Linked DNA regions of Ovis aries. The protein of the gene in region 2 interacts with the protein of the main gene of each other region in a pairwise test. Links are inferred from orthologs where the notes say so. Each region holds a gene or a part of one and is shown on either strand. Other genes may lie near its edges. The genes, in order: NXT1, STAU1 and LONRF1.

The links.
Region 1: the proteins of STAU1 (region 2) and NXT1 interact in binary tests that used the Homo sapiens proteins (3 or more experiments, as listed by UniProt). The two-hybrid records come from large-scale screens. The link is inferred for Ovis aries from reciprocal best matches to the Homo sapiens genes STAU1 and NXT1.
Region 3: the proteins of STAU1 (region 2) and LONRF1 interact in binary tests that used the Homo sapiens proteins (3 or more experiments, as listed by UniProt). The two-hybrid records come from large-scale screens. The link is inferred for Ovis aries from reciprocal best matches to the Homo sapiens genes STAU1 and LONRF1.

What each region holds. Positions count from the first base shown.
Region 1 is NC_056066.1:41,575,925-41,587,316, reverse strand, and holds NXT1 (NTF2-related export protein 1), read right to left. Parts: upstream 6,843-11,392; 5' UTR 6,538-6,842; intron 4,591-6,537; 5' UTR 4,552-4,590; coding exon 4,129-4,551; 3' UTR 3,942-4,128; downstream 1-3,941.
Region 2 is NC_056066.1:77,267,002-77,277,594, reverse strand, and holds part of STAU1 (double-stranded RNA-binding protein Staufen homolog 1), read left to right. Parts: intron 1-3,727; 5' UTR 3,728-3,811; coding exon 3,812-4,016; intron 4,017-5,664; coding exon 5,665-5,789; intron 5,790-8,813; coding exon 8,814-8,970; intron 8,971-10,593. UniProt on the Homo sapiens protein: Binds double-stranded RNA (regardless of the sequence) and tubulin.
Region 3 is NC_056079.1:23,413,654-23,424,246, reverse strand, and holds part of LONRF1 (LON peptidase N-terminal domain and RING finger protein 1), read right to left. Parts: intron 5,833-10,593; coding exon 5,714-5,832; intron 4,473-5,713; coding exon 4,350-4,472; intron 1,380-4,349; coding exon 1,230-1,379; intron 696-1,229; coding exon 455-695; intron 355-454; coding exon 258-354; intron 1-257.

The DNA.
Region 1 (11,392 bases), about 36 Mb from region 2:
TTCAAAAAACAGTCCTCAGTCTTCAAGATGTGTGCCCAAATAAAATGTTTTCAAGAAAAGTGTATATGCTAATGATAGGAGATAGGAAACATATGAACAAATAGCACCTTATTTGTGGAAAGAGTTCAGATTCCATTAAGCCATGTATGTTTTAAAAATACATATATCCTCTTATCATGAGCACCACATTTGGATAAATTTAATTTGGCCACGCACATTTTGAAATCAACTTTGCTTCAACACAAGATGTCAAATAGACGGCGCACCACTTTTTATAGGACAATTTCATATAAAATGTAACACCACTGCAATCTTACTTTGTCATTAACAAAGAGCCTAAGTGTTTAAAAGAGCATATTAAGTATTTAGAATTGTTAAAAGTCCAAGCAGACACAGAACCAGGATATGTGGAAAAAGCAGCCAAAATTCTGTGTTCTACCCAAGTTGGTTAGTGTTCAGTGCTGAAAGGACTTCTTTATTCAGGGTCATAATAGCTTTAATGATTAAAGTGAAGAAACTGGATGTGATTATTATAAGTTTTATATTCAGTTTCCTTTAGAAATGCTACCTGATCAGGTTCCAAGGTAGAAATTACAGCAGGCTATTCAAAGAAGCTTTAGAAAATGAAGAAACACCAACAGCCTAATACAAAACAAAGAATACAAATGGACAACTCACATACATGTACGCATGGCAGAGACATCACTATAAAAAGCAATGATAATGAATAGGACAAAGTTTAACCCGAAGTTAAACACAATCTGTGATGCAGCAAATGTTTGCATGGGAAATGCAGTCTCAGGGGAATAGATATTTATCTCCATGTAACCCCCTGTAGTCATTCTGAGGAAGTGGAGTGAACAACTTTCAGGTAATTATTATGTTAGTGAAAATTTGGAAACAACCTACTTGCCCAAAAGGAGACAACTGAATATACCCATGCATTGGTTTATTATGCAGTCATTAAAACAACGTTTTAAAAAGTGTTTAATGGAACTCGTCGTAATAATTCCATAATGTATATGTTTATCAAATCATCATTGGAAAGATGTTTGCGGAAACCTTCACTATACTGAAATGAATAAAGGAGGTATGCTGTTGTACCCAGGAAATGATCTGATTTAAAAGCGAATCTTTGGAACCAGACCGTAAGCAACTCCCCACATCAAATTCTAACCTGCCCAGGGAGGGTAGCCGGAGCTGCCCGCCCCGCCCACCGGAGGCCGCCCGCTCCGCCCACCGGGCGCTGACGAAGGGCGGGGCTGGAGCCTCGGTTTCCATTGGGTCCTCTGACGTCGCCCGGGATGCTGTTGGCCTCCCTGCGTGCGCCGGGATGCGCGGCTTAGTGGGACTTGAATGGGCGGAGGCGGATCGAGCGTCCGTGCCTGGGGCTCGTGGCCTCGCGGTTTGGGTTCAGGGTGGGGGCCCGGCCCTGGGGCCGGGCAGGGGTTTTCTAGCGCTGTCCGGCTGTACGATCTGGTTCAAGTGGGCCAGACCAAGCCGTAGTGGGTCAGCTGGGGCTGTATCAATGAGATCAGGCACGTCTTTACCTGCCTTAAATTTGGGCAGCGTTTCCAGACTTTAACGTCTCACAGGGCCAGGTGGTGATCTGTAATAAAACACGCCCCCCCCCACCCCCGCCTTTTTTTCTTTTCCCGGAGAACCCAGGATGTTTCAAAGCGGTATCTACTTGGATACTTCACTGGTAGGGTCTGGCTCAGGTCGGGACGCTCTGGGGCGGGAAGTCACTCTTCGAGGTGTCCGCAACTTGAATGCCCCTATTTCTTGCTGTGAAAACAGCCTTGATTATTAAATGAGATTTTAATTTAAAAAAACATGATGCGCACACTGTATGAATATCTACAAGGACATTCGGCATCAAGTGCCTTGTCTCCGCGTTAAAACTCTAGAACCCAGATCCTAAGGACAGCCGTACTTAACGTTTTTGCCAGTCCTTCTAGTGGTCCGTGCATACAGGGCAAGCCTATATGGAATCTTTTTTTTAAAACACAAAGCGAGTTTTCTCATTTGTAAAACGGGGCTGAAAATAGTGCAAAGTATCTTGAGCTGTTCTTGGGATGTTGTTCTTCCTGCCTGTAACAACTGTTAATACTCTACCAAGTATTTGAACTTCAGAGACTCTCAAAGATTTTTCATATTTGTATCACAGACAGGTCTACCTCTTCAAGCCCCCTTCAGAGGGGCTGTGAGCCCCTGCTACACTGAAGTGCAGGCCTGCGTGCTAGCTGCACTAGCGAAGACCCACAGAGCAAGTGATGTCTGACCTAGCTCTCAGTGGACTCTCAGTGGTCAGAGAGCAGCTGATGTCCTTCAGTGGGGCACCCTGGTGACATGTGGCACTCACTTGTAGATGAGACAGTTCTGCATTCACCTAAAGCCCCTCAAAGCCTCAAGGATTAGAAGGCTCTGTGTCTGGACCCTCCCTCAGCAAGTTGGTGCACCTCTAGTCTCCTGAACCAACCTCCGTCATCAGAGTTTGTCATGAGCCTTTGGAGGGGAGCATTCTGTAAGAGGAGCTGGCTATCTCTGAACCTGGATCTTTTTTTTCTTGGGGCACTGCAGTGGGTTTTCTGAGGCCTCAGCACTGCTTAGTTCATGTGTGCTAAGTTGCTTCAGTCCTGTCTGACTCTTTGCGACCCTACGGGTTATAGCCCTCCAGGCTCCTCTTCCATGGGATTCTCCAGGCAAGAATACTGGAGTGGGTTGTCATGCCCTCCTCCAGGGAAATCTTCCCAACCCAGGAATCAAATCGCCTTTCTTACATCTCCTGCATTGGCAGGTGGGTTCTTACCACTAGCGCCACCTGGGGAGCCCAAGACTGCTTAGATCTAGACTTAGAAAACAGACCTCCTGCAGTGGGAGGTTCTTGCTCCCCTAGCAACTCTGAGCCCTAAGGACCCTGTCCACTCTCTGCTTGGCTTCTCCCAGAGGCCCAGTGATCCGGCACCTGAGACACTACCCCCCACCCCTGCACCGACCCCACCAGCCCCCCACACACACACCAGGCTCTGTGTTCAGGCCTGCATCTCAGCCTGGGGCACTGACCAGGGCTTGCCCTTTAGTACAGGCTGCCACTGCCCCCCACCCTCTGTACACAGCCACCATACAGCCTCCTGCCCTGTCCCTCTGTCCTGCCAGCTCCCAGTCCAGTCCCCAAGGTCAGGCCCCTTTTCCTCTATCAGAGGGGAGGGAGATCCTTCCTGACATGGCAGCAATGCCCACCTTGCCTAGCCATCCCTGGTGGATGCCATAGCCCAGGGCTAGAGGTCCCTACCATCTGTGCAGCCTACACAAGTCCCCCATTCCTAATCCTAACCCACACCTCCCAGCCTGACCTTTGATCACAGATTTACCTGGGGAAGGCACATGTCCACAAGAGCTCATCTATTAATCAAAGGATGATGGAAATGGCTCATTTTTTCTTTACTTTGGAGAAATGGGGTGAGCTGGTCCTCAGGGTCAGTAAAACCAGCATCTAATTCTGATGCCCCCCAGCCCCACCTCAGTACTTCTTCCTCTTAAAAGCAGTTCTCTTTGTAAGGGAGTAGTCAATGGAGCTTCCTTGTTTACAAGCAGTTATTAGCTAACTCCAGGTATCTTACCTGTTTTCATCCATGTAACTCCCAGCACAGGTGCAAAGTCCCAGTGTGGTCCAGCCACCTAGTCAGGGGGTTCTCTAAAGTGTTTTAATAGACAGCTAGGGGGCTTTTGTAAAATGCCAAAAACGCTCAGGCCCACCCTCTGAGATTCAGTAGTTCAACCAGGATGTGCGCCTGGTGATTTTCGAAGAGTCCCAAGGGTGTCCTCTGTGTGTGCGGCAGCCCTGGATCTCAGTCTTTGCAGTGCCTTCTGCTGGCCTTGCAGCTTTAACCCTCCTTCTCCTGGGCCCCTCTCCCCAGTATCGCCCAAACACATCCAGCAAGGGGAAAAGAAGCAACATTTTATTCATCAAAATTTCCAGAACCAGAGTCTCTCCTGGGCAAATAGAAAAATAGAGAATTTTACTACTTCAAAAAGGCAACTGTGACAAACAAGTGTATGCCCAGACAGGGGCCCCTCAGACTTGAGCGAGCCCAGGGTTCAGGCTTGGGGTGTCCCACCACCCCACTAGCAGGCCCAGTCCTGGAACCGGAAGCAGTCGCTGGCAATCTTCCACACTGTGTTGCTGGGTGAGGCCTGGGCCGTCAGGATGAAGTTCTGGTTGAAGTCTCGCTGTTTGTTGCCCTCAAACTTCACTGTCCCACAGATCACCACAAGGACCGTGGTCTGGCTCGGGGTGGCTTCGTCATGGACAGGCTGGCAGTCTACCACGTTGATCTGGAACTCACTGGAAGGCAGCATCTCAAAAAACTCACTCAGGGACTCTTGCCCGGAGACAGCGTTGCCGTTCCACACCAGGGTGGCTGTGCCCATGTACAGGCGGGACAGCAGCCGCCGCCGCTTGTCCATGGTGCTGTAGTACACGTTCACGAACTCCTCAGCTGCGCGGCACGCCTGGTCCACATAGGTCTTGAAGTCCACGGACGCCATCAGTGGCCTCGCCAAGGGAGGCCTTGGCCCAGGTGCCTCCTGTACCCGAGGGGGCGGAAGGTGGAAGAGACCTTGTGTGAATGCTGATGACCGTCACGCCCCACAAAGGACCAGTCCTCCGACTGAGGCGAAATTCTGGGCGCCCCCTGCTGCCGACGCCTGGTCCGGCTGGGCCCCAGTTTGCTCATTGGAGACAGGAACATCCCTACCTGTGCATGACTATGACTGCAGTGCAGGATGAAGGGAAGCAGGGGACACCGCACACTCAGTTAAAAAGCCTGAGACCCATACGGCCAGCAATGACAGCTTATTACTATGAATTTTAACAATGAATTTCTTAACAACTGACTGTGGGAGGCTGCTTTTTCCTGGAAGCATGGAACAGCTGTGACTGCCCTCGTGTGTCTGGTGCAGACACCACACTCTGGAGAAAGGAACAGTGGCCCAACGAAGGCTGATCCATCTATCATGAGCTCACCTACTGGGCCTGGGAAGGTGAAGAGAAGGCAGGTTCCGTAAGAGGGCAAGAGAACAAATGTCGTTGAGGACAGGACAGGACCAGTACTGGTGGCCACAGTTCTCACTATGGGCTCTATTTGAGGAGCAAGGCTGGAGCTGACTGGAATGAGTGACGACTCAAGAGCTCCAGGGAGCACAGGGGAGTCCTGTGAGCCAAGAAAGGACAGGCCAGACAGAAGAAATTCTGTGGGGTGAGGGGGTGGTGACAGCAAGGAAGAATTTTAGCTGTAGCCAAAATGAAACATTTCCTTAAAAAAAAAAAGAGTCCAAAAGCATAAGGAAAAATTATTTGCTTTTTTTCCCCAAGGTATACAATAACTATTGTAGTTGTATTCTTTTTTGCCTGATTAAAATATTTCACTACACAAAAATCCAACAGAAGACAACATTACTAAAATATTGGATGCATTTAGATTTACAAACTTAAGTATTTTTTTATTTCAACGTTGTGCATGCATGCTCCGTAGTGTTCCTTTGACTCTTTGCGACCGCATGGACTGTAGCCCGCCAGGCTCCTCTGTCCATGGGATTCTCCAGGCAAGAATACTGGAGTGGGTTGCCATTTCCTTCTCTAGGGGATCGTCCTGGCCCAGGGATGGAAGCCGCCTCTCTTATTTCCTGCACTGCAGGCGGATTCTTTATGGGGATGAGACATGGGGAGAGTTTAACTTAAAAAAAAAAAAAAATCAGCTTTTGAAAGAGAGAAAAGATCCCACGCAAGGTTAGGAGGGAGTCAGGGAGAGGAAGGTGGAGGAGGCCAGAGCCTCCAGGAGAGAACTGGCCAGGGGTAGGAGCGGGTAGGCGGGGAGAGCTCCAGCCTTGAAAAGAGCGCTGAGGGCCAGGCACCCACGCGGGTCCTGCCACCCCCTCGGGGCGGGGGTGGGGCCTCAAGTCCAGCCGCGCACACACTCACTCCAAACTATACTTCCCAGCGCTTCATATACACCCCGTCCTTCAATAGTCACCGCAAACTGATGAGGCGTTATGGTAACAACTTCGCAACGAGGAAAGAAAACCCAGGTGTGGACTAGGTCGAGGGTGGACACGGCCCTGATCTGTCCTCTACTAGAATACGCTGCCTGCCCGGACGGCGCGATTGTCTCACCGGCTCCTGCCTCTCTGGGTCCAGTCTGGGGGCGCAGGGTTCCAGGATGGCCAGTTTGTAACCTCCCCCTCCGGGCCCATCGCCCTCGCTGGACACCACCCCCTGCACCCAGCCGAGCCCCCATCTGCTGGCGTCCACGCCGATCACCGGCATCTCGGGCCGCCGCGGCTCAACCAGCTGCCAGCCTGGGGGTCCTTAGGGAGCGGTCGTTTCTGCGGGGCTGCAACCGCCCCAGACTCGCGGCGAGACCAAGTGGCATCCTCGCCACTCCGGGGCCACTGACGGGGGGGGGGGGGCACCTCCTACGTACGCGGGGGTCATCTACCAGACCCGGGAGCGCAGACCTGCGCAGGGGCACCTACCTGCACGGGAGTGACCGCCCTGCTCAGTGCGGGAGATGACCGCGTCAGCGAGGGGCTCAGTTGGGCGGGCAGGTGAGGGGAAAATCACCGCACGGGTCGGCGTGGGCGGCTCCGTTCACGCGGCTACGCGGAGCCCCCCGTGACCGTAGGCCAGGCCAGCCGAGGCTCCGCGGTCCTCTGCAGCCTGCCCAGGCGGGCCGGGGAAGAGCCGCCTCCGCCTCACCACTACCTCCCAGGACCTGCCGGGTCCAGCCAGCGCCTCTGCGGGTTCCCGCGCGCGCGGCCAGCCAGCAACGCGCAGACTCAAGCGCCCGGCCCCTTCCCGCCCCGTGACGGACAGCCGTTTCAGCCAGTGGGGCTGCCGACCGTAAGGCTAGCCCCGCCTAAGTGTGGCACGGGTAGGGCAGCTTCCGGGAAAGGCAAGTTCCCAGAAGACCGCTCGCTCGAGTCTTCATTGGTCTATAGACGTAGGCCCGAGGTTAGGTACGGCCTCTGATTGGACGAAGCCTCGCAGATCCCCTGCTCTGGGGCGGGGTTGGGCGGGGGCTCTGGGGCCGTCTCGCGGCTGCGCTGAAACCTCCTGGCACGGGTTAACTGACGCTGCCGCCTGTTCTGGGTGTGTTCCCCTTGGCAATGCCAGGGCGGTTCTTTGCCTGCTTTCCTAGGGGAACGCTTGCTCTCAGAGTTCAGGGCCAGTTTAGAAAGTGGATGGGCTCTTCAATATAGGCTACCACCCCCGCCATGAAAAATGTGGTTTATAAACAAATAAATTGCAGGTTGAGTAGAACGTTTGAATTGAACTAGCGTCTTTGGAACCTTATGCACAAGACAATGTCTTTACAAAGCCCAATCCAGTGAAATGGGAATTTAATCTACAAAACTCCGAATCCCAGCATCACTAGCATGAAAACGAGAGTTGACCTCCTGCATGCCCACTGGGTTGGATGTCGCTTTTAAGTTTCCGTATGTTTCCCATGTAAACCCGTTTCATTTCATTCTCATAACTTCAGGAAGGCATCATTATTCCTGATATAGACTAGGAGGTCGAGAGACAGAAATTAAGTGACAGTCTGGAGTCACAGAGCCTCTTCAGTCCTAGAAACACTGGTCGGGAGGATATTTAACCAGCCCTAGGTTCTGATGAAAACAAGAATTTAACCCTGAGAGGCAGCCCAGCCAGCAACAGGAAGATGGGAGGTCCGGAACTTTCAGATTAGTCTCTACCATCTAAACTGTGCCTGATCCACAGCAAGGGGTCGGTAAATACTGTTTGAATGAGCAGACAGGGTTCAAATCATTGCTCCACAACATTCTAGTAAGCTTCCAAGCAAGCCTGTTTTATACTTTCCGGTGCTGCTTGAGTTTAGAAAGTTAGACACACTGCTGGCTCTAAGGCAGCAATTCTAGGGTGGTGGGCTGCCTAATTAGGGCCGCTGAAGCTAGAGAAGGAGTTTGCCAGGGGATTTTGGAAAAGATGCTATTTCTCTTTTTCCTTCTGGACATGTGATGTGCGGTGGTGCTGCTCCAGCCATCTTGCTCTGCTGAGGTGGGCACCCTTGTACCATGAGGCAGACAAGAAAGAGGGGGAGAAAGCAGACTTTGATGACTGTTGGGAACCAAATCAACCCTGAAGTTTAGCCTTTCTAGTTTCAAGAGTCAGTATATTCCCTTTATTATCAGTACTGCTAAAAATTGGGCATAAACAAACACAGTGTTAGTTGTTCAGCCGTGTCTTACTCTTTGCAACCCCATGGACTGTAGCCCACCAGGTTCCTCTGTCCATGGAATTCTTCAGGCAAGAATACTGGAGTGGGTAGCCATTCCCTTCTCCAGGCGATTTTCCCAACCCAGGGATCGAATCTGGGTCTCCTGCATTGCAGGTGAATTCTTCAGCAACTAAGCTATCAGAGAAGCCTATAAAAAAACCTACTTGTAAGTTAATTAGTGTGGCTTCCTGCACTAGCAGAGTGATTCTGCAAGTAAGTTAACCTTCTTGAGGTTCAGTGCCTCATGTGTAGAAGAGGGACAGTAATGCCCTCATTTCCTTGGGTCACGAGTGACTGGAAGAGGGTGTCGTCAGTGCTTAGCCCAGGGCCAGGCACAAAGCAAGCATCCAGGAATCATCGGTGTGCTTTGACATTTTGCATTGACAACAGCTTCCTTATTTGCCAATGATCCTTCCAACAAAGAAGGCTTTTAAACTTGGAACAAGTGTACCAGCAAATTGGTGGGATTTGTCACCAAACCACATGGGTGCCTTCTGGAAGATGATCCTGGCTTGAGCAGCCATGGCGCCAGTGGCCTATTTGCCTCATGGAGTCTGTCCAGGGAGGAAGGACGCAGCTGGTCAGACGTGCTAAGCTGCTGGCATCTCTGAAGACAGGCTGGTATCCTTGGGTCTCTAAACCTGGTACCGAGCTTCTCCCCTTATTGGCATGGTTCTCTGCTGCAGTATCTGATGGTGTTTGCTTGATAAGGCTGCGTGACTTGGAGCTGATCTCCTAGTGGTCCACGACGCTGTGGGCAGTTGTGCCTGCGGAACAGGATGACCAGCACCATCATGTGCTGTTCTCTCCCTGCTACTGCCACCCCCACCCCCTCACCACCACCCCCCACTAGAGGAACTATTAAAAATTGAGCATAAACAAACATAATGTTAGTTGTTCAGTCATGTCTTACTCTTTGCGACCCGATGGACTGTAGCCCACTAGGATCCTCTGTCCATGGAATTCTTCAGGCAAGAATACTAGAGTGGCTAGCTATCCCCTTCTCCCACACGCCCCCCACCCACACCACTGGAGGAATCATCCGAACTGCCGCTGGCCCAGAGTGAGCCGGGACTGCATTTCTGGAAGGTCACTTGGGACCTGTCTTTTCTGGGGGTCCTAGGAATGCAGGGATAACAGGAGTCCATTAGTTTAGGAGCTGAGCTGTGGCCAGGGGCCCAGAGGGGAGGTGTGAGCAAGAGAGAGGTAGGGACGGAGAAGGGGAGCAGGCGTGAAGTGTGTGTGCACACAGCTACACATTCACCTACACAAACACACACCAGAGAGGAAGCAGCAGAACTACAGAGGAAGCAGTCCTGGGAGTGGGCTGCCTTAGGAATGGATCCTCCAGTTCTGGTCGGGCTTCTGGGGCTGGTGTGGCTCAGGACAGACATGTGCCTCCCTGCCAAGCCCTACCCTGGTAGGTGGCAGACTCCTGAACAAATAAATGGCTGGTCCCCTGTGATGCACCGAGGATCATGTGGTCTATTGTGCAGCACTCTCGGAGGCCCACTGAAGCCCCGTCCTGAGGCCCAAGGAAAGCCTCTGGAATAGCACCTCACAACTGTGTGACCTGGTGGGCCACTTGCCGCTAAAGGGACCCTGAAGACAGGGCCCCTCCAGGCCTTCCACAGTGACACCGCCTCAAGGAGCTACCCACAGTCCGAATTGGCTCCCTCCTCATCTCTGAAATTGCACCCAGGTGGAAGTTTGTTCATCTGCAGCCCGAACCTGTGTCCTGGGGACTAGAGCACCCCGTGAGACCAGCAGGGGCTCTGAGGGAGCAGGGGAGGTGGGAGCCATGGATGGGGCCAGGGGTCTGGAGCCGCGACCAGGACCAGGGGTGATGGTGGATGATGTGATCTGAAGGGTCTGCGTTCCCATGAGAAAATGTCACTGGGGGGACCAGACATGGCCCGTTGAGCACAGCTCCCTCCAGCAGCACTGCCCATGTTTGTCCCATAAGCTTTCCACGTGCTTCGGTGTCGCCCACTGGGCTGCTGGATCATAACCAGGCTGGCCTGGAGCTTCCTTTTTCTTACGGATGACATTGTACAGGAGGCAGGGATCAAGATCATCCCCAAGGAAAAGAAATGCAAAAAGGCAAAATGGTTGTCTGAGGAGGCCTTACAAATAGCTGTGAATAGAAGAGAAGTGAAAGGCAAAGAAAAAAAGAAAAGATATACCTATTTGAATGCAGAGTTTCAAAGAATAGCAAGGAGAGATAAGAAAGCCTTCCTCAGTGATCAATGCAAAGAAATAGAGGAAAACAATAGAATGGGAAAGTCTAGAGACCTCTTCAAGAAAATTAGAGATACCAAGGGAAAATTTCATGCAACGATGGGCACAGAAAGGACAGAAATGGTATGGACCTAACAGAAGCAGAAGATAATAAAAAAAAAAGTGGCAAGAATACACAGAAGAACTATACAAAAAAGATCTTCACGACTCAGATAATCATGATGGTGTGATCACCAACCTAGAGCCAGACATCCTGGAATGAGAAGTCAAGTGGGCTTAGGAAGCATCACTATGAACAAAGGTAGTGGAGGTGATGGAATTCCAGTTGAGCTATTTCAAATCCTAAAAGATGATGCTCTGAAAGTGCTGCACTCAATATGCCAGCAAATTTGGAAAACTCAGCAGTGGCCACAGGACTGGAAAAGGTCAGTTTTCATTCCAATCTCAAAGAAAGGCAATGCCAAAGATTGCTCAAACTGCCACATAGTCGCACTCATCTCACCTGCTAGTAAAGTAATGCTCAAAATTCTCCAAGCCAGGCTTCAACAGTATGTGAACTGTGAACTTCCAGATGTTCAGGCTGGATTTAGAAAAGGCAAAGGAACCAGAGATCAAATTGCCAACATCTGTTGGATCATTGAAAAAGCAAGAGAGTTCTAGAAAATCATCTACTTCTGCTTTATTGACTATGCCAAAGCCTTTGACTGTGTGGATCGCAACAAGCTCTGGAAAATTCTGAAAGAGATGGGAATACCAGGTCACCTGACCTGCCTCTTCAGAAATCTGTATGCGGGTCAGGAAGCAACAGTTAGAACTGGACATGGAACAACAGACTGGTTCCAAATAGG
Region 2 (10,593 bases):
TTGGAAAATGGATATTAGTAATAGAAATGATGTTTTCCCATAATTGCTGAAGTAGGTGTTTCATACTGCAGCAACTTAGTAGTCTGTTAGTTGAAAGGGATTAGTACAAAGCAGTACTGTAGGTAGTTCTGTAAACTGTTTCTAGAAGGATCTGCCTTTTTGTGTATTGAGTCACTCAGGCTGTGCACTCAGTATGGCCCAGTTTTGGTAGATTCATTGCTGAGTTAGAGATGTGCATTTTGTGCCTGATCACTTTTTAGCACATCATGTGCAATTTTTCAAAATGCTTTTATAATGTGCCCATATTCCCCTTACTGCAACCCATTAAAAAGTACTTGACACTTGTAAAGTGGAAATTGCCAGGTGAGACTGTTTTTTATGAGATTTTTATGTCGCCAGGCCCAAGTTAGGATCTGGGGGGACTTGGAATTAGGAATTTTTAAAAAGAGGTACCCATAACTCTTGTCATCTCACCACTCACAATGTTGTAGTCCTTTGTTTGTATTCCATAAATTTAGGATTTGAGAATAGGATGAAATGGTTTCTTGAGTTGGTATCTCAAGCTCCTCAATTAGGGGAAAAAATCAGGAGATGAATGATTCTCATCTGTGCTGGAGGCAGGAGGCAAGGAAACAGCACACCACAGGCTTCACAGTCAAGTGTTTCCAGCCTCAGGGAAAACTGGAGTCTTTGTGTTTTAAACTTTTCAACCTAATTTTCCTGTGTGTGAAATTCTGTTCTTTTGTAAGAAGACTCTAATAAAGCATTTAAAATCTCTTTTAAGTCCCTAATTTATTTGATGGAAAACAATGCTTAAAGACAAGTATAAAGGAAAATGTAAGTTTTCATTTAAGGATTTAATCTCAGGATGGTATAGTGTTGAGCAAAAGGTTCTTAATTTATGCAGAAATAATATCTCTGAAATTATGTGATTCCCCTGAATGCTTCCATGAACTATATAAATGGCAGTAGTGAAAAGCTTTATTTATAGCTGCCTGACTTTTCTTAGGGGAAGAGCATCTGTTTGGGTAAAATATTAGCATCAGTATTTCAGAGCCTTTTGAGATGAAAAGGGGGTTTTCTTTTCCTGTCTGAGAATATAAGCTCCTTCATACATTAGTAAGATTTTATTCTGTGAATGCACATATATATGCTAGAAATAGCACCCTTGCTCCTCTACCCACTGGATACCAGTAGGTTCTCCCATTTTCCAGATGCGATGGCCAAATGATGTCTCCAGATATTGTCAGGTGTCCTTGGGGAGCAAAATTGCCTCTTTAAAACTACTTCTTTAGATTATATTTTCAGGCTTAAAGATACATAGAAAAGTTAAATTAGTAAATGACTTAAAATGAGTACTGTGCTGTATTTTTATTGGTCATATTACAAACTAAAAAAATTTAAAATATAGAGCCTTATTGGGGTTTAAAATATTTTCCATCTGCAGTTTTGAACTACTTATTTCAACCAGTTGTTTGAAAGATATAACTCCTCCAGGTGTACCTGAGGTTAGCATTTTTGGGGCGGTCTTAATTAATATCCTGTTTGTTTCTTATCTCAACTTCTAGCAAACCTATGAATTTATGCCTGTCACTGGAAATGCTGGCAGTGGGCCTGCCTTAGAGAAGCTAGCCAACAAAGATCCCTTTGGGCCCCACCCTTTCTAAAGTTAGTTCATTCGGTCTCAGACTCTCAAGAGCCACCCAGAGCAGAGTTGGGTTGCTTCCCTGGGTCGGGAAGATCCCCTGGAGAAGGAAATGGCACCCCACTCCATTATTCTTGCTTGGAGAATCCCATGGACAAAGGAGCCTGGTGGGCTGCAGTCCACGGGATCACAAAGAGTCGGACATGACTGAGCGACTTCACTTTCACTTTCTGGGATGCAGATAGACTCTGGAGCAAGCACTGTGCTTTTGGCTTATGTTTGGACCTGTGATCTCTGGTTGGTGTTGTGAAGTTGTGAGTACAACTCTCAGTGGTTTTTTTTTTTTTGCAGGGGAGGGTAGAAAAATGCCCTCAGGACAGAGTTGAGAGAGAGGGAGAGAATGAGTAAGAGCAGGAGGGGAAGATTAAAAGAGAAATATTTATATTTTGGCAGCTGATTGAACAATGAAAGGTCATAGCTGCCTTCTAAAAGGTTTTGGACTTGTTGCTTGACACTGGCAACTTGTCTACTAAGACCACTACCCAGATCTTCAGTGGATCTCCTCTGTTGTTTTGTTCTGATTTCAAAAGTAGATGGGGAACAACTGTAATGTTGGAGAATTTTGTCGTGTAAGGTAATATTTATACCTGTTACTAACCAAAGTCATAGTTTAGCCAGGGTGCTTTTGTTTCTGATTTTTGCCTTGTTGTCAGTTTTGTAGTCCTTTTTGCTCTCTGCAAAGGGCTTCCCTGGTGGCTTCGATGGTAAAGAGTCTGCCTGCAGTGTGGGAGACCAGGATTTGATCCCTGGGTCAGGAAGATCTCCTGGAGAAGGAAACGGCAACCCGCTCCAGTATTCTTGCCTGGAAAATCCCACGCACAGGAGCCTGGCAGTCTCCTGGGGTCATACAGTCCATGGGGTCATAAAGAGTCGGACATGACTTTTTCACTTTGCTCTCCACAAGGGAGGATGTTCCAAGACTTCAAGGAACTTATCTGGTCATTCATCTGTTTGTAGAAGTTTGGCTTTAATTAAAAATCATTTTGAGACTTAAAAAATGAAAGTAACAAATTACTTTATAGTAGAACTTCTAATTTGTTAGTTTGATGGTTTCTGCCTTGCTTGGCTTTTTCTGTTCTTTGTTGCTTAATGGTTATTTTTGAGTAGTTTTGATTTGCTTAAACATTTTCAGCTTTTTGAATGATGGCCATGAAAATGAGCAGAACTGTCCTTATTTTTGACTGGTGAAGAAATTTAAATGTATTTAGAATTAATACCTTTGGAACTTACAAGATACAGTAAAAATCTTCTCTGCTTCCCCCACAAGCCATGCTAGTAAAATCGTCAGCCTGAAATCTGTTCCTCTCTTCTGCATCTTCTCCACTTTTGCTTTTAACAATAAACATACTATAGAATGTTCTTTGCTATGCTGAGGATACATGGCCATGGTTGTGGGTGCAACAGCTCTTGTTTGTAATCTGTAAGTAAAGGGGACTCTCTCAAACAAACCTTACCGGAGAACAAAGAGGCCTTGTGTCATCATTAGGAAAAAGAAATGGCAAGAGTGAGGAATTCTTCCCTTTCTTCAGTCAACTTAAAGGAGAGCTCCAAAGGCGCCATTCTGAGCACATGGCCAAGAAAACGGAAGCAGTGTTTACATTCACCAGTAATGGTGTTACAGACCCAGTTTACTTTCAGTTTCTTATCATTTTGAGCCCAGAAACCTTTACCATATCCCATATTCAGTGGAAAACCTCTTCATGTTTTTAATTTGATTTTTTAATGTAGGCTATAGTTTATAATTCTTAATATTCAACAATAAGTAGTATTATACCTTGCTGATTCTTTTTGTAAAATGAACATGCAGGGTATGTGGGTATTGTAAGTATTTTAAAACACTGTGGGGGAAAAAAAACACTGAGAAATTCATAAAGCTAGTGAATCCTACTGTACATCACAGTTACAGACTAAACGGGCTGTTTTCATACTTGAGTAGGTGACACCAGTTTTTGACTGAATATTGGCAATTACATATCTCTTCTATAATTTATCTTTTTATTTTCTTTCCCTTACAACTTTCAGGTAGAACTTTAGACTTCATAGCACTGAATTAACCTGCACTGAGAGCTGTTTACCTGCAGTTGTTCACTTTTGTTGAAAGTGACCATGTCTCAAGTTCAAGTGCAAGTTCAGAACCCATCTGCTGCTCTCTCAGGGAGCCAAATACTGAACAAGAACCAGTCTCTTCTCTCACAGCCTTTGATGAGTATTCCTTCTACTGCTAGCTCTCTGCCCTCTGAAAATGCAGGTAGACCTATTCAAAACTCTGCTTTACCCTCTGCATCTATTACATCCACCAGTGCAGCTGCAGGTAAGCGTATGATCCAAGTGTCTTCTGTTTCAAATGTTTTCTTAGCCTGTTTTCCGACCTGATAAGTAGATTGCAGATACAGGGAGCTCTTGCACATTTACCTTCAAGAAGCAGGAGGAAGTATACCACCCACACTTCTTTATTTATACCAGATATAAAACACACTTGATGATATACTGGCTTGAAAGAGACCTTTTACAGAGTATTTCAAAATGTAAGGAAGAAAATTAGAAACCAAACTATAAAGCCTACTCTGTTATAAACTGGTAGCTGGCAGAAAAAAAATACCACTTTGGATATTCATTGTTATATGGGAAAATTCTGCTGTTAAAATGATTTCCCAGAACTGATTTGTAGGTGTAAGTACCCTTTTTGGAGGTCTGTAAGATTTATCCCAAGCAAGGGGACAGCCAGATTTTGGGACGCAAAAGAATGTGTTGGCATTTGCTAATTTTCATTTTGACTAAGTAAGTTTAAGTTGCCATCCAGAGGTAGTTGAGAAATCACAGTGAGGGCCAATGAGAAATTGAACCAAGCAGCAGAGATGTTTAAAAAGGAAACCCTCAAATTTGAATATTAGGAAAACAAAAATGAAAAATATCCATGGATTAGAAAAGACTTGCAATCCCTGGGGAAATAACCCTTAAAAACAATATTCTGCTCCCCAGTTCTCCCGATCTCATCCCAAGTTGCAAAGCCAGTTAAAGGGGGTGTCAGCATAGGTGTCTCTGTACTGGAGTCACCTTGTAATAAATGCTTCTCAGCCCTTAGTGCCTGACATCTCCCTTGCATTTCCTCCTCTGTCCTCTCGTTTCCTTTACTTTGTATCTCTCTTCTTAGAGTTTTAACTTGTCCCACTCTCAGCTGCGCAGACTCTTATCATGCTGCTACCTCTAGACTTCCTTGGACCAGCTCACCAGATGGCATTCTTGACTTGTCATAGTCCCCTAGAGGTTCAGTGTTCCCCATATTTGCCATTTGAATACCATCTTAATAGGAAATGGCACGGACTAGTTCAGTCCTCTGGGATTTAATTGCGTTCTCTTCTAATGTGTTCTTATATCCACATTTTGTTGACTTTATAAAACTCCCATCCAAGACCATTTTATTTTACTTACATAATTATTAAAGATAGGTAAAGTCTGAGGATGGCAGCCTCTGGAGATAAGATGAGAAGATACCCCAGGAAGGAGAAGTTAGCTATTTGGAAAAAGACAGTCGTTTGAGAAATGGTATTGGCATATTGCGTTTTGTGAAATAATGAACAGGGTACAGCTGACAACTGTTGTACTAACTAATGTGTGTATGTGTCTCTGCTCAAAAGACCTCCTTGTTATTTCCTTGGTTATAATAGCAGTCCTTCATCCGATTTCAAATCTTGCGTGCTTGCCATGGTTTAGTTATTCCTCTGACTTCTATTCTCTCTCTTTTGAAGACACACCCCTTCCTAGGTAACCTGACTTCAACTGGTTCAGAAAAGATCCCAGCTGTGTCTTCAGATATGTGCCCTCAGTGTGGTTTGCAGTTTTGCATCGCTGTTGCTCTAAATCATTAGATGTGGCGTTTGTTTTCCCTCTCTTCATAGCCCTGGAGAGCCGCCGTCTCTAACACTGCTAGTTGACGTCAACGCTCTCACATTATTTTTCAGTTCCTCCTAACATGGCACACCCTAAAGAGAAAACCCCAATGTGTCTTGTGAATGAGTTAGCCCGTTTCAACAAGATTCAGCCTGAGTATAAACTTTTGCGTGAGCAAGGTCCAGCTCACTGTAAGGTAAATATTGTCCATACTGCTTGTGCATTTATAACCCACTAGGAATGTTTTCTTTCTTTTCATACAGTTGCAAGTGGTGCGGTGATTCAAAACACATTTGAAACTGCTGAGGTTGTTTTAAAGAGATGCAGAAGTACAGATTTTGGGCGAGTCACTTCTTTTTTCCATCCTTGCAGAGTGGGTCAAACGAAAGAGATGCTTCTCTGGGGGATATTTGGCTTTTAAAACTTCAGTTAGCATGTGGTTGTTTAGGATTCTGAAGCAAGACAAGTCCCAAGCACCTGTGAATGGTTTCCTGTGAGTTTTCTGGGCTCTGGGCCTCCTGGCTGCAGCCTCCGTCTGGCTCCTTTCCTTTTCGTTTGCACGTGCATAGATACCTTAGGTCTGGGCAGGGCAGGGAGAGGAGGTGAATGGGAAGTCAGTGTTGCTTCTTGTTCAGAATCAGATAGGGTTTGAATGTGAGAGGCAGAAATCAATCTCCCTGTGAGTACATGGAATTATCTCTGATTTTAGGTACCCTTGTCACTCTCATCTTAGAGGATGAAAGACTGACTGTAATTTGAATTTTTACTATTTGTTTTTCAGGAGTTCAGACTTTTAAGCTTGCTTGATATCTGTGCTAATGTGCTTGGACCCTAAATGTTTGTGTATCTGGCTTTATCTTTTGCAACTACAGTATGAGAGATAAAGAATTAGGCCTATTTGTGATTCTAGCTTTGAAGTAAGATAATATAGTTTTATAAGGAAGAGTTGTTTGTCTCTTTGTGCCTCAGTTTTCCTGACATGCAAACCTCAAACCTTGAATGATACCAGGTTTCTCTTTTTTCTTGGACTAAAAGTAGCATTGACCACAATCACGAACAGGCCCCATAGGGAAGTGCATTTTGGTTAGTTGCTTTGGAGTCAGACAGATCTGGGTTTGAATCTTAGCTTCTTACTAACTTGGTGACCTTGTGTAGGTTACTACTTTTTTTGAAACTCCGTTTCCTCATCTGTAAAATGGAGATAATAGTACTTACCAAATAGGTCTATTGTGAGAATATATGTCAAAGTATGGAGCGCAGTGTCTGGCATGTAGTAAATGCTTGAGAAATGGTAGCTATTACAATTAAGCAATTATACATTTAAGAAAAACAGGAATTTCCCACTCTCATGAAGGTAGTTTTAATATTATTCTAAAGCACAATTATATTTGAAATATTTCTTTACTTTTAGAAGGCAATTAGCCAATTCTCTGATAACTGTTCTGTTTCTTCTACAGGATTTTTTTTTGCAGATCTTAACTTTGGGATTCCCTTTATTAACTGTTTTTGGTATTTTTGGAAATATGTACTATCTCACTTGAACTTTGGTACCTTTTAGGTAATTTGGCTGTGTGTTCAGTCTGTATCTTTTTTTTTTTTTTTTGCCTACAAGTTGTTCAAAGAGAAAAATTTATTCCCTCCTAGATGATTATTAGACTATTTCAAAAGTCAGAGGTCTGGTGTACTTTTAATTCTTTCTGAACCGAGATCTAACCTCACCACTGCCCCTCCGCACAGAAGGCAGCATCGTGGCAGCAGCACCATCGGGACAGTCGTGGAGAAAGGCAAGACTGACCGTGAAATTAACTCTCTTCTGTCTTATAGCGTTTTCCCCCTTCGATGTCTTTTCATGAAAGGATCACAAAAATGACTGAGGGGTTGCACAGCGTTGCAGGCTGCTTCTGCTGTCTGACTTCTTGTGCTAGTCAGGGTTTTGCGTTCATGCTATCAGTGCTTTAATGAGTAACTTTATGAACTGCAGCATAAATACAGGAGACCCCTAATATTTCAAGGGGGGTGAAGGATTCTTTAATTTTTCGCCCTTTAGTGGAAGTTGTGCGCTGAGGGAATCCTGAAGTTAAGACCTACAAGAAAAATCAGCTCTAAAGGCAAGTTGGCCCCATCCCTTGAGGCACCAAATTTAAATGACCTGGACATACTCAAATCACCATTTCTCTTGTGAATTATTTGTAAGTGAAATAAAGTGATAGATTCCATGATAAAGAAAATCAGAAGAATAAAAACTCCAAAGTAGTGAATCTCAACCATTGAAGTGCATCAGAATGACTTTGGGAGCTTATTAAAAATACACAGGCTCAGGCCTCCCCTCATGCTGTTCTTTTCAGTCAAAACTCCTGGCACGTGTATTTCACCAGGCTTCCTGGGTTATTCTTCAGATGTACACAAGTGTTAAAGAATCACTGCGCTGTGGTGGGTCCTAGTGTTTTTTGGATGAATTGTTTGTCCAATTCTGATGGGATTAACATAACCTAACTTTACGAATAGAGCGTGCACACAAGTTCCCTTTATACTTAAAAAGGAAAAAAGAGGCTTGTCATTGTCCACAGTTGTTAAGGGCAAAATTAGCTCTTTTGAATGCCTCCTTAGAATTGAGTTCAGAATGTTGTTAGATCTTTGCTTGCAGTGAATCTCATCTTCTGAAAGGGGGGGCAGTGTCTGAATAGTACAGTCTTAGGAAAGTAAAAGGTAGCATTGTAATAATGACATTCCCAAATTCATTTGAGGTTTTGGCCTAATGAGGTATTTTCAGACAAGAACCAGTGAACAAATTACAACAAATGCTGTCTTCATTTGTATGAGGTACTATTATGTGTCTAAATTAAGCTTGCTAAACTTCTTCCATGAGAAGAAATGGGAAGACAGTTTTTATTTGGATGGCTTCCAGATAATTAGCATTTAATATTTTAATATATAAGAGAACAGTTTTAAATTTCTGTACTTATACCCATCTTTCAAAAGATGTTTTTTCTTTTTTTTTTTCAAAAGATGTTTTTTCATGGAGTGCTATGCAGTACAAGTCGACGATGTATGTATCTTCTCATGTTTCTAGAAACAGTGAAAAGGGGGATGAAGGGATAAATTACAGAGATAATGACCAGGCCTTTTAAACCATGACCGTAAATTATGTTCAAGGTCCAAGTGACATATTTTAGTCAACATCAGGTTTCCTGAATTGAGAGCTCACAATTTTCATTTGTAGGTGTTTACAGTACAGCTAACACTTGGAGATCAGCACTGGGAAGCTGAAGGAACTAGTATTAAAAAAGCCCAACACACAGCTGCTGCCAAAGCTTTGGAAAGAACAAAATTTCCTAAACCTATAGTCCGCCCTTTCCGTAGCGAAGGAAGAAATCCAGGTATTATGCGTGGGCCAAGACAGGTTCCTTTCAAAAGTGTGTCTAGAGATATCCGTTTAGTATGTATATGAATTCTTTCTTAACTGACTTGTTGATTTTGAGAGCACAGAGTCTGCACTACCAGTGGCAAATGCTTATCTTTTCGGAATCTTAGCCTTACTCTAAAGCAGTGGTTCCCAATCTACAGCCCCTTGATGCCTGATGATCTGGAGAGGTGGTCACGGGAGGCGGGGCATGTCACCAAACGATTTCGGAGACTTTCAGAAAAGCTTAATGAAAGGAATTTTTTTTTTTCTTTTGATAAGGGTTGTATAGATTGTGAGAATGTAGGTTTTATTTAAAATCACTTCAACTTTGTGTGGTAATATTGATTATAACCTGTTGATTGTAACCCCGATTATCAGTTTTACGTCTCTTGATTGTTAACAAAAATGAGAAAATAGATATTTATTTCTTAAATTCAGATTAATAGATATCTCTTCAGGCAAGGGTCCCAGTTGGGGAGAATACTGTTAAAGAGGAGTGTCCTGTGAAAGCTTGGGGACCACCGACCTGGCAGCTGTAGGTAGTAGTGGCTGTCTAAGGAGAGTCACCTCTCAAGTGTATGAAGTCACCCTGGCCCTTTGCATGCAGGAACCACCTGGGAAGGCCTCGGCCACGCCTTTCTCTTCCTTTCGCTTTCTCTCTGGGATCTTTGCTTCACATTTATACTCTACTGCAGATAAATTTTATGGGTCAGAGCTGCTCTTACTTAAAACACAACTATTTGAATTGTGGAAAAAATATAGTTCATATATTAGCTAAGAAAGAAAAAAAAAGAGCCTAATTATTCATGTGACCCTCTTGACTTGCAGACTCAAAGGTGGTATTATAAGTTTGATTTATGCACTAGATTAGTGAAACCAGTTATGGTACAGAATCAAGGCATTTTTATTTTCTTCTACCTACATCCTAAAGAAGCATTTTCAAGTGGGTTTTTGTGTGCATTTCAATTGAACTTTGCCATTGCTAGTGTTGTTCTGTGTTTGATATGAAGCTGTTGATTGTAAATGTGATTGTGCACTGATGCTAATCTTTCCAGGTCCAATCTTTCCAGGTTGGTTTTCTTTTTAAATGATTTTTAAAGGTTTATGAATTGGATGAACTTAGAGGGGGAAAAAGAGAAGGATGAATGATGAGTATTTTCTAAAATTGATAATTTTGAGGTAACTTAAGATATACCTGTTCCTGTTGTATATGGAAACAGAACTCATTTTTTCTAACAAGTATTACCACAAATCAAATCCCATTATAAACATTAAGAAAGAAAACATCTAAGTATTTTGTGGGTCCCATCTGACTTCTCCAGATAGAATTCACAGTCTTCTCCTCGGCGATTCTGCACCTCCTTACAGCACACGCAGTGTTGTATCAGAGTTCTTGAAGTGTGTCTTGTGTTCTCTGGACTCCTCTGGGACAAGAATTGTGTTTCTCAAGCTCAGCACAGTGCTTTGCCTCCAGATAGTACTGAATAAATGCATTGTCCTATGAAATAATGTGTATGGATGTCCTTCTAAGTGTAAGCCAGTCAGTCAGTACAACCAGAGTTATATTGGTAGAGTATTGCCAAACAATGAAATGATT
Region 3 (10,593 bases), on a different chromosome or scaffold from region 2:
CCCAATCCCTCCCAGCATCAGAGTCTTTTCCAAGCAGTCAGTTCTTCGTGTCAGGTGGCCAAAGTATTGGAGTTTCAGCTTCCGCATCAGTCCTTCCAGTGAATATTCAGGACTGATTTCCTTTAGGTTAGACTGGTTTGATCTCCTTGCAGTCCAAGAAAGTCCAGTTCTTACAGAGTAGATTACCTTTATCTACTCTGTACTTATTTATTTACATTAATATAAAATATTCATCTCATAAAATTTGACAAACTTACCTCATACAGAGAGAACACTCAAAATCTGAGACATCTATTAATTCTTCTGGGACATCACCATAAGTTAATGAAAACGTACAGACTTCAGTGGGAATTTCTATTAAAACAAAGAGATGGGGTTATATTTTTTAGGAAAAAATTTGGAAGCCATTCTGAATAAAACAATGTGTTTTCTGTGAGTGTAGTGAAATTTTTACCTCCCTGTCTTTTCAGCTTATTTCTTCCATCTTCATTTACAATCACATCCTGGTCTAAAAGAGACAACTTTCTTTTCAGCAGAACACCTTTCTCTTGAATGCAAAGTGAGGGTTCCGAGGACACTCTTTTTAAACAGTCCTCTCTGGCAGGCATGTCTGTTGAATTTATAGCCTGTGCTGACCGAGCACGGTTTAGGCTTCCTTTGACAGGCTCTGAGGTGACCTCTGCTATTTCTTCATTCTACAAAAAAATGCAACAAATAAGGGTAACTGACTGTATGTTTTTACTGCCCTTATTGCTCTCGCCAAGAACCAAACTGAAATGAAACTGTGATGTCTTGAAAGGTTTATTTTATTGTTCATTTAAAACAAAACCAACTTTTAATGCTAAAACCCTGGCAAGTAAAGGATTTTTGTCAGTACTTAGAGAGACCTGGACATCAAGCTGACTTCTATCATAATGAGGTTTAAGTAGTTATGCTAATATAGTTGTTTCTACTACAAGGAAATTAAGATAAATACAATGTTCTGTTTTTTTCCAAGAGACAAACGTTTCTGACATTCAGGTGATGTAACATTGTGACTAATGAGTAGGTATGTCACATGAAAGTTTTTAGTGTAAAATAAAAGGTCACAGATGGAATCCTATTAAGATAAGCCTTACTAAGTTAGTACCTACACAGATTTTAGTATTAATATTTGAAACTAGGAAAGCGAAGATCTTGTCAAGAAAATGGATACACTAAGCCTATGACCGTCTCTTCTCACCCCTTACCTGCTCTGGGCTCAGCTCACTGGCAGAGTGAGACTCTTCCATCACTGAAGGAAAACTGAAAGGTTTGTTTTTAATACATGGTAATGAATTCCAGGAAGAGTCCTTCAGGCCTTCTTTTAAGTTTTCAGGTGACAATAAATCACATAAAATCTGTAAGGAAGGTATCATAAAGAATAATGAAAAATATAAAATATTTTATTAAGGATAATTTAGTTACTTAATATTTAAGAGGGCTTCTCTTGTGGCTCAGCTGGTAAAGAATCTGTCTGCAATGTGGGAATCCCTGGGTTGGGAAGATCCCCTGGAGAAGGGAAAGGCTACCCAACCCAATACTCTGGCCTAGAGAATTCCATGGACTGTATAGTCCATGGGGTTGCAAGAGTCGGACAAGACTAAGCGACTCTCACTCACCTCACTCATTCAATATTTAAGAATTTCTGGAAAATTTCATATGGAGTATAAACTATAAAAATATCCAATCACTGTTGTACACTTAAAAATAATATTGTAAGTCAGCTATACATCGACTACAAAAAAGAAAACTTAGAGCTAATATTATTTTTAACGGGCAGGGAGGGAACAGGTTAAGCAAAAAAAAACAAGGACTTCCATGTTGATTTTAAAAGTCCTGCCAAAACCAAGGTGTGCCTCCAAGGGGGTCAAACCACATCAAAGAAATGGTTCAAAAGGAGGGCTCAGGGGTGATTAGACTAGTGGTGTGAGAAGGTGCCCAGGTATATATATAAGGTTTGTAGAAAGAAGAGATCTTAAAGAGAAGTGGGAAATATTTACCTCTGACCATCAGCAAGTCCCATCCTGTCAATATAGTTAATGGTTCATCCCAATGTATATTCTAAGGCTGAACTTAGACTGTTTATGTGAACTTGGACCTTTAACTACAGAACTAAAATTCCATGTGTTTACAGTGAATCTAGCTTCTCCCTGAACCAGTGACCTGTGTGGTCAGTCACCACCCCCGGCATTATCGAGGGCACCCCATGGCAGCCGGCCCAAACGGAGGCAGCTACAGTATCTAAACTCTGGGTGCTTCTCTCAGAAATACCTCAAACTCTCCAACAAGGGGATGACAACAGAGGAACAGACTGGCTACAAGGAAATGAGAGGGATTCAAATTTGTTTGCTTGTCAAATAAGCTGTGTGTATATGTACAGCATATACACATTTCTTAAAGTCTCAATTTGGAAGTTTGGTTTTTCAGCTGTTCTATCTGTCAAGGCACAAAAGTCAGAATTTTCCACAAATCTTTATAATGTAAATAAAAAGGAAATATACATGGTATTAATGGAAGTGTGTGTCCCTGTAGGTGCTCAAGCAATAAACCATTTAATGAATAATCACTAAAGAATTTGGATATGTTTTTATATTTCCCCGATTAAAAAAAAAAAGGTATTAAACATACCCTCACCCTAGAAGACAGTTACTTGACTCCTAGGTATTTACTGAAGAGAGATAAAAACGTATGTCCACAAAATGACTTGTAAAAGATTGTTCGTGGCAACAATTAGAAACAATCCAAATGAAAATCACCACTAACTGTATTTATCACAAACTGTGATATGTTCATACCACAGGATACTTGGTGAACAATAAAAAAGAAAAAAAGTTGCTAGATGTGTCTCAAAAACACGTTGAGCGAAAAAAGAGTATATACAGTGTATGTGAAGGTCCAGAACAGGCAGAACTAGTCTGTGGCACTAGAGGTCTGAGCAGTAGCTCCCTCTGGAAGCACAGAAAGAGGAGATCTGCTGCAGAGGAGACGAGGGAGCTTTCCAGGGTGATCTGAAAGAGTCTGTATCTTGACTGGGGTGTTGTTCCACGTGTACAATTTCTCAAAACTCACTGAACTATAAAATGCCTTTTATTATATGTAAATTATACCACCATTTACCCCCCAAAAAGAAATAATATTTCAAGGCTGTGGGTATTTTGCATTCACTTGACCTTATTAACCAACAAATAATTACAGGAAAGTAAGGATACCCAGCAGCATGGAAAATGCAAAACTATAAGCCCTTATAAAGTCTGCAGTCTCACCAGGGAGATCACTTTAGCAAAGAGAGCACAGTTAAGAATACACACAACAGTAAACCATCTTTTGTTAAATCAGTGGCTGGAACATGTATGCAAACAAACTTCATGGAGGATGTTGGCTTATTCATAAAGCATTTGGAATGCAAGAAAAATCCCAAAGTTCTCTTACTTTAAGGTACATAAGAATCTCCTGAGGTGCTTGTTAAATTATACTCTAATTCCAGAGATTCTAATTCCAAAGGTCTGTGGTGGGACCCAGGAAATCTTTGTGTTTACCATGCACCCGAGATGACTCTGACAAAAAGCCATGTTCTGAGCAACACTAAAAACGCAATTAACGCTGTGGCCTCTTTGGGGGACACTGAAGGAAACAACATGACTGGGCACTGAAATTTTATTAGGATAGATTTTCCCAGAACATTTTTCAGAGACTCTAGTCTTCCCAGATGTTCTGTGAGTAAATCTGGCAAAAGCTGAATGCTGTTGTCATGCTAGCAAAGCAAAAACTCTTGAGAGGGGCTGAAGAAATCTGTTTGATTGGTTTAACCCAGTGTTTCCCAGAGTCATTTGATCAGAGAACCCCTTTTCCTTTTAATTAACACCTACCACTGAACAAACTCTGGAAAGTGATGTATGGAGTACTGAGAAAATTAAGGCAAAATAAATTGAGTGGGGCAGTACTATTGGCAACCACGGAAAGCAAGCAAAGTTGAGACCTGAAATGAAAGGCAAAGGAAGCCAATAAAAATTCCTGAGCAGGAACATCATGACAACAATGTTTAATTAGGAATGACTGGTCTGGCTCCCATGGAACAGACTATTAGAGAACATCTAAATTTAACTAGGCGAAAGTAATGCATTTAACTCTCTCTGAAATGTTCTGATTTGGGTAAGAACTCAATATGCTAATAAGCATACTGAACCTGAAAACCCCTCATCAAACTGCTACTAAATCTGACTTATGGACACCCCTTATGTCCTTACCCCAAAAGTCTAGCGGGCGTTTGCAAAAAGACCTGTGTTGTCGGGAAACTGGCTGGAAGTGTTAAGAGTTGTTAAACGGATTACCTTTTCTACTTCTAGCTTTGCAGGTGCGAAATCTTCATCGAGCGCTAAGCACTGAAGAAACAGTTGTAAGGCATCACCTAAAAAACCAGCATCGTGGAGGACTTTTCCTTTCCTGAAGTACACCTTCAATAAAAGCACACATACCCAACTTTTATGGATGGAATTGTTTTTTGAAACATCAATATCACGTAAGGTTAAAAATAAAAGTTCTGCTTGGAAATGTTCATTTTGAAACTCTGAATGACTCTCAGGAGCCCAAAGCATTTTACAGGCACATTTACATCCTACCCGGGATAGGCACCTATGATTATGAGGTCCAGAAAATGACTCCAAAGCCACATTTCTAATTATATCCCACCAATGGTAAGTCCAGAGGATTCTTTCCTGTTTAATGGTTTTAAGAGCTTCCCTGGTGGCTCAGTTGGCAAAAGAGTTCTGCAACGCAGGAGACCTGGGTTCGATCCTCGGGTTGGGAAGATCCCCTGTAGAAGTGCATGGCAACCCACTCCAGTATTCTTGCCTGGAGAATCGCACGGACAGAGGAGCCTGGTGGGCTACAGCCCATGGGGTCTCGCAAGAGTCAGACATGACTTAGCGACTAAACCACTGCTGCCACCAAAGCTGTCTGTACAAATCATTTTCCCTCGTATTCTTAACACTGATTTGACTTGTACCAACTGATCATGTCATCATGAGATTCTGAATCATTTTCTTTATTAATTTATAAATTTTAGAGCATCCTTACTATACAGTCCTCAAAGGCATAGCTTTGAATGCAGAAAAAAAAGTCACATTAAAAGATGATTTTTAACTTAAATAACATACATGGGAGATGGATTGATTTGCCTTGACAGTATTGGTAAAATGGAGAATTCGTAAACCGATTATATAATACATACATGCTGCAAATCTTTTTTCAAAAGACCATGGGCAAGGCCCCCATCTACCGTACTGAACGACTGCCTCATCACCCAGTTCCCGTCACAATGCCTCAGTCAGCTGTTCAGCCACAGAAGCTCTTCTCTCTCCTTTAATAAACCTCCTCCACTGATAACTTCTTTGGGTCCATCTCCACAATAGTACATCTTTGAGGAAATGCTGTATATTAAATTCTTTTTTTTTTTTGTCCTGTGCCACGAAGTCAAGTTGTTCTCTAGTTAAGAAACAAATGTTTCTTATAGTCTAAAAAACTGTCAGATGATATTCATCCACTCAAAATATTGACCTCAGACTTCTAGAACTATTCCATATATTTAAAAGAAATCGCCCAATCCATTTCGTTGTGACTTACAATCATAATTGAAATGCATATTCCCTACAGTTGAACTTCTTAAATGCATGCAAATGTAAAACAGTAATTTTACCTCAGGCCAATTTGGCAGCTGAAAGAGAACTGCATTTAAATCTTCTATGGCTGCTTTAAACTCCTGGAGGCCAGCATACGATTCAGCTCTGTAGATTTTCAGAGTCAAGTCGCTGGGCTCTGAAATCAATGTTATGAAGGCTTGATTATTTTTAAAAGATTACTGTATAATCCACAGAAACATACTAAAGTAAGAACTGACTCAGCGATTCTAGTCAATAACCACTGACGCAAAGGCAGTGAGCCAAGCACAGTACAGGTGCAACCCACTGGCATACTGACATTTCTCTAACTTACAGCAAATCCTTATGGTTAGATTATTTTAGTGGAGGAAACTGATTTTTTTTTAAAAAACTGAAAATATTTTGATAATATGATCACCCCTAAGAAACTGAATGTTTTCCTAACATAGGCAAAGATTTAGAAGATGTATCTCAGATGTTTAGAAGATTTGTCTTTTTGTGGTAAACCTTTTTTTATATCTGATTTTGAAATCTTTATAAATGACTACATGTGTTAACTACTGCACACAGAATTCCCATAGTTACAAAGACTGACCGAGGCACGATCTTATGAGAGGACACGGTGGTCCTGTTTCTGGAGGAAATGGGTTGACAAGAGTCAGGTTTCTTAAGAGGGAAAATTTTTTAAATTCCTGCCATTAATAAGAACAGGATTGGATGGCCCCAGAATGACTTACTTTCAAATATTTGAGGGTAAAAAGCTTTAGGTGATAATTTCACTATGCTCTCTGTCTCTACTTGAGAAACCGAACTCGTATCCAAAGGCACTAAAACTTCAGACGCTTAGCTGGTTCACTGATGGTACTACAATCAATTCCTACAGGTCACGTGGGATCTAGGAAGATGCTACAGATGAGCCTATTTCCTACAGACTCAGATGCAGAGGATGGACACATGGGCGCCAGAGGAGAGACAGGGAGGGTGGGACAAACTGAGAGGTCAGGATGGACATAGATACACTGCCATGCGTGAAACTGCGTGTGGGAACCTGCGGAGCGGCGCAGGGAACTCAGCTCAGTGCCCTTTAATGACCTGAGGGCTGGAGGCAGACCCAAGAAGGAAAGGATTTTGTATACTTATAGCTGCTTCACTTCAGTGTATAGCAGAAACACAACACTGTAAAGCAATTATATTCCAATAAAAAAAGGTAAAAAAAAAAATTACTACAGGTACATGGATTCTGAAACTGAAGTGTAAGCCAGAAATCAATTTTCAATTATCTACAGATGACATTAACTTGACTCTTCTTTTTAAAGCTATTATTCATCTTTAAAGGCTTCCAAAATGTATGCTTATAAAATACAGCATTCGTTGTGGGAAGGGCATAAAGACCTTACCACCCACCGTCCTGGGCAAACAAAACAAAAACTATAATAAAACTCCTTAATAGCTTCCTTTACTCTAGTTTTTAAATGATTGCTTTTTTACAGATAACTCTTGATTTAACAATTAATCAGACAAGCCTTTTCTAGTTGTTGGTACTTGAGAACTCAAACTGTTACCTCAAATTTATACCAATGAAAAAATTTTAAGAATAAAATTAGTATTTCATGAAAATAGTTCTTACTTCCTAAGCAGAAAAAGACACGTCTGGAACATTTCATCTTTCGTTTCTTAAAGCAATATAATTGTAAATCATTATCTGAACAAAAACTCATAGAAACTGAAAGCTCCATGTGATTAATCAATCAAGAATGAGGAGTCTCAGCACCAAGATAGATAGATGCTGGAGGGGTTTCAAAGATGTTACTTTCTCCTTTTCTCTGAGGAGCTTACAGTCACATTAGGAAATCCCATTTTCTTGTGAAATGGCATCACGTGGTCCTGACCAGACAAGCACAACTGGAGTCCGGGAACCAGGGAGCAGCAGGTGCCCAGCCGGTCCAAGGAGTGGTCACCACAGCAGCGTCCAGCTCCCTGAGCTGGAGACGATGGGGACCATGTCGGGCACAGCTAGGGTCCTGCCAAGAGCACCCCTAGGACCCGCCTGTGCTCCGGCACCTCCAGAGAGAGGGGCTTCAGTCACAACCAGCAGCCCCCTCCACACTCGGATCCCTTACTGGATTGCTTTTCTTCTCACGTGTTTCCTTTTACAGCAGGTCCCCCCACACAACCCTGGAGGTAGTGCCCACGGGGACCTCGTGAGTACCCTACGCTCTGATCAAGGTCTTTACCGCTTGGCGCTAAAGCGCCAAGCTTCCCCAGGGCAGTGCAGCAGGAAGGGGCTGGGGAGACCTCCATCTTTACAGCGCCAGGTCAGTCCACCATGCTCCTCCCCTCCGAGGATGCAAACAAGGAGCTCAAGCTACCCAGGCTCCCTGGAAAGCTGGTGTCTACTGGGATGAGAAGCGTGGTAGACCTGCGATGGAGATGACAGGAGGGTCAAATCTTAAAACTCTTGTTCCCCAAATCCTTGTAGGTTCTGTTCTTACTGAGCATTTCACATACCAATGGAACAGTGATTTTGACTGACTGTTGGGGAGGGGGGAGCCTCATCAGTTGAGTTCAAACTCCCAGAACATTATTAAAGAGATTAGGGCCACCCCACTTGTTTCCTTCAAGCCCTTCCTAATTTAAAAAAAAAAAAAAACAAAAAAAAACAAAAAAACCACCAATGCATGATTGAAGCCCTCTGAATAGTATATGGATACAGAACATCTGCCCTCTGTGTCCACTTGTGGGAAAGGCAACTGCAAAAAAAATGCCATCAGCCAGGCTGTGTCATTAACTCAAGTGTTTAACAGGCAACAGATATTTATGATCTGCTCCGGGCGAGGTCCCGCGGACCCTGGGATGAACTGATCACCCCTCTGCACGAGCCACCGGGGAGGGCCTGCCCCTCAATCCACGGCTGCAGGTATGCAGTGCCTGGCGCATCACAGACTCGGAAATATAAGGATGTGCCAGGGCCGAGTGTACTGGGCAGGATTTAATTCCTACCTCTTCTTTTTTTTCACCCTACCTCCAGCTGCATCAGATTTCCAACAGCCAGCTGTGCTTTTCCTCAGGCTCAGTACACTTCCCACACCTCAGCACCCCCAAAAGGATATGTGTGCTGCACTGTAAGTAACACTGACTGTCCAAATCTAACCTTTACCACAGTCAGTTTTACCTCCTCTAGTATTTCCCCAATCCATCCCGGGTCTTTTCCAATCCAATTGCTAATAACAACGTTTTGAAAGCCAAAATTAAGCTAAGACTATTGTAACAGCTTGCTAACTGCACACCCTGCCTCCAGTTTTATCTATACGTACCTCACCATCCACAGATATAGTTATTTAGCACAACATCCAAGTTCCTGCGTGCCTGGGTCCTGCCCATCTCTCCAGCCTTATTTCCCATCAATATGAGCCTCCCGGTGAGTCCCAAGAGGACCTAGCTACTCAGCCCCATGCACGCCTTTTTCTACCTCATGCCTCCTTCCTTTTCACAGAGCTTCCTCCTTGTGAGACTCCCCCTACGCAACTCCCCTCTGTCTGGACAACTTTTTCTGATCCAGTAAGACTCAGCTCACCAACCTCTTCTCCAAGACGCTTTCGTTTGCATCTACTGCCACTTGGCATTCCAGAAGGATTCAGAGCCTGGAAGCCAGACAGCCTGGCTGCAACTTCTGCTCCTCCACTCACTCACTGTGAACTGGGGCAAATTACCTCTGTACCTCAGTTTCCTCAGCTATAAAATCTGAGTTTTTTTCCACCTATGGTCAACAAAGGACGCAAGACTATACAGTGGAGAAAAGACAGTCTCTTTAATAAACAGTGCTGGGAAAACTGGACAGCTGCAGGTTAAAAATGAAATTAGAACACCACACATAAAAATAAGCTCAAAATGGTTTAAAGACCTAAATGTAAAGATTCATAGACAAGCAAAAGCTAAGAGAATTCAGCCCCACCAAACCAACTGTACAACAAATGTTAAAGGAATTTCTCTAGGCGGGAAACACAAGAGAAGGAAAAAATCCATGAACATACATATTGATAATTACTTTGAATGTAAATGGATTAAATGCTCCAACCAAAAGACAAGGGCTAGCTGAACAGATACAAACACAAGATCCATATACATGCTGTATACAAGAGACCCACTTTAGACCTAGGGACACATACAGACTGAAAGTGAGGGGACGGAAAAAGATATTCCATGCAAATAGGAATCAAAAGCAATACTCATATCAGATAAAACAGACTTTAAAATAAAGACTATTACAAGAGATAAGAAAGGACACTACAGAATGATCAAGGGATCAATTCAAGAAGAATATACAACAATTATAAATACTTATGCATCCAACATAGGAGCACCTCAATATATAAGATAAGTGTTAACAGCCATAAAAGGGGTAATCGAGAGTAACACAATAATGTGGGACTTTAACACCCCACTTACACCAATGGACAGATCATCCAGACAGAAAATAAATACAGAAACACAAACTTTAAATGACACAACAGACCAGATAGATTTAATTGCTATTTACAGGACATTCTGGGGCTTCCCTGGTGGCTCAGACAGTAAAGAATCCGCCTGCAGTGTGGGAGACCTGGGTTCGATCCCTGGGTTGGAAAGATGCCCTGAAGGAGGGCATGGCAACCCACTCCAGTATTCTTGCCTGGAGAATCCACATGGACAGAGAAGCCTGGTGGGCTACAGTCCATGGGGTCGCAAAGAGTCAGACTACAACTGTGCGATTAAGCACAGCACAAGACATTCCACCCGAAAGCAGCAGAATACACATTCTTCCCAAGTGCACACAGAACATTCTCCAGGATAGATCACATCTTGGGTCACAGATCAGGACAAAGAAAATTTAAGAAAACTGAAATAGTCTCAAGCATCTTTTCCAACCACAATGTTATGA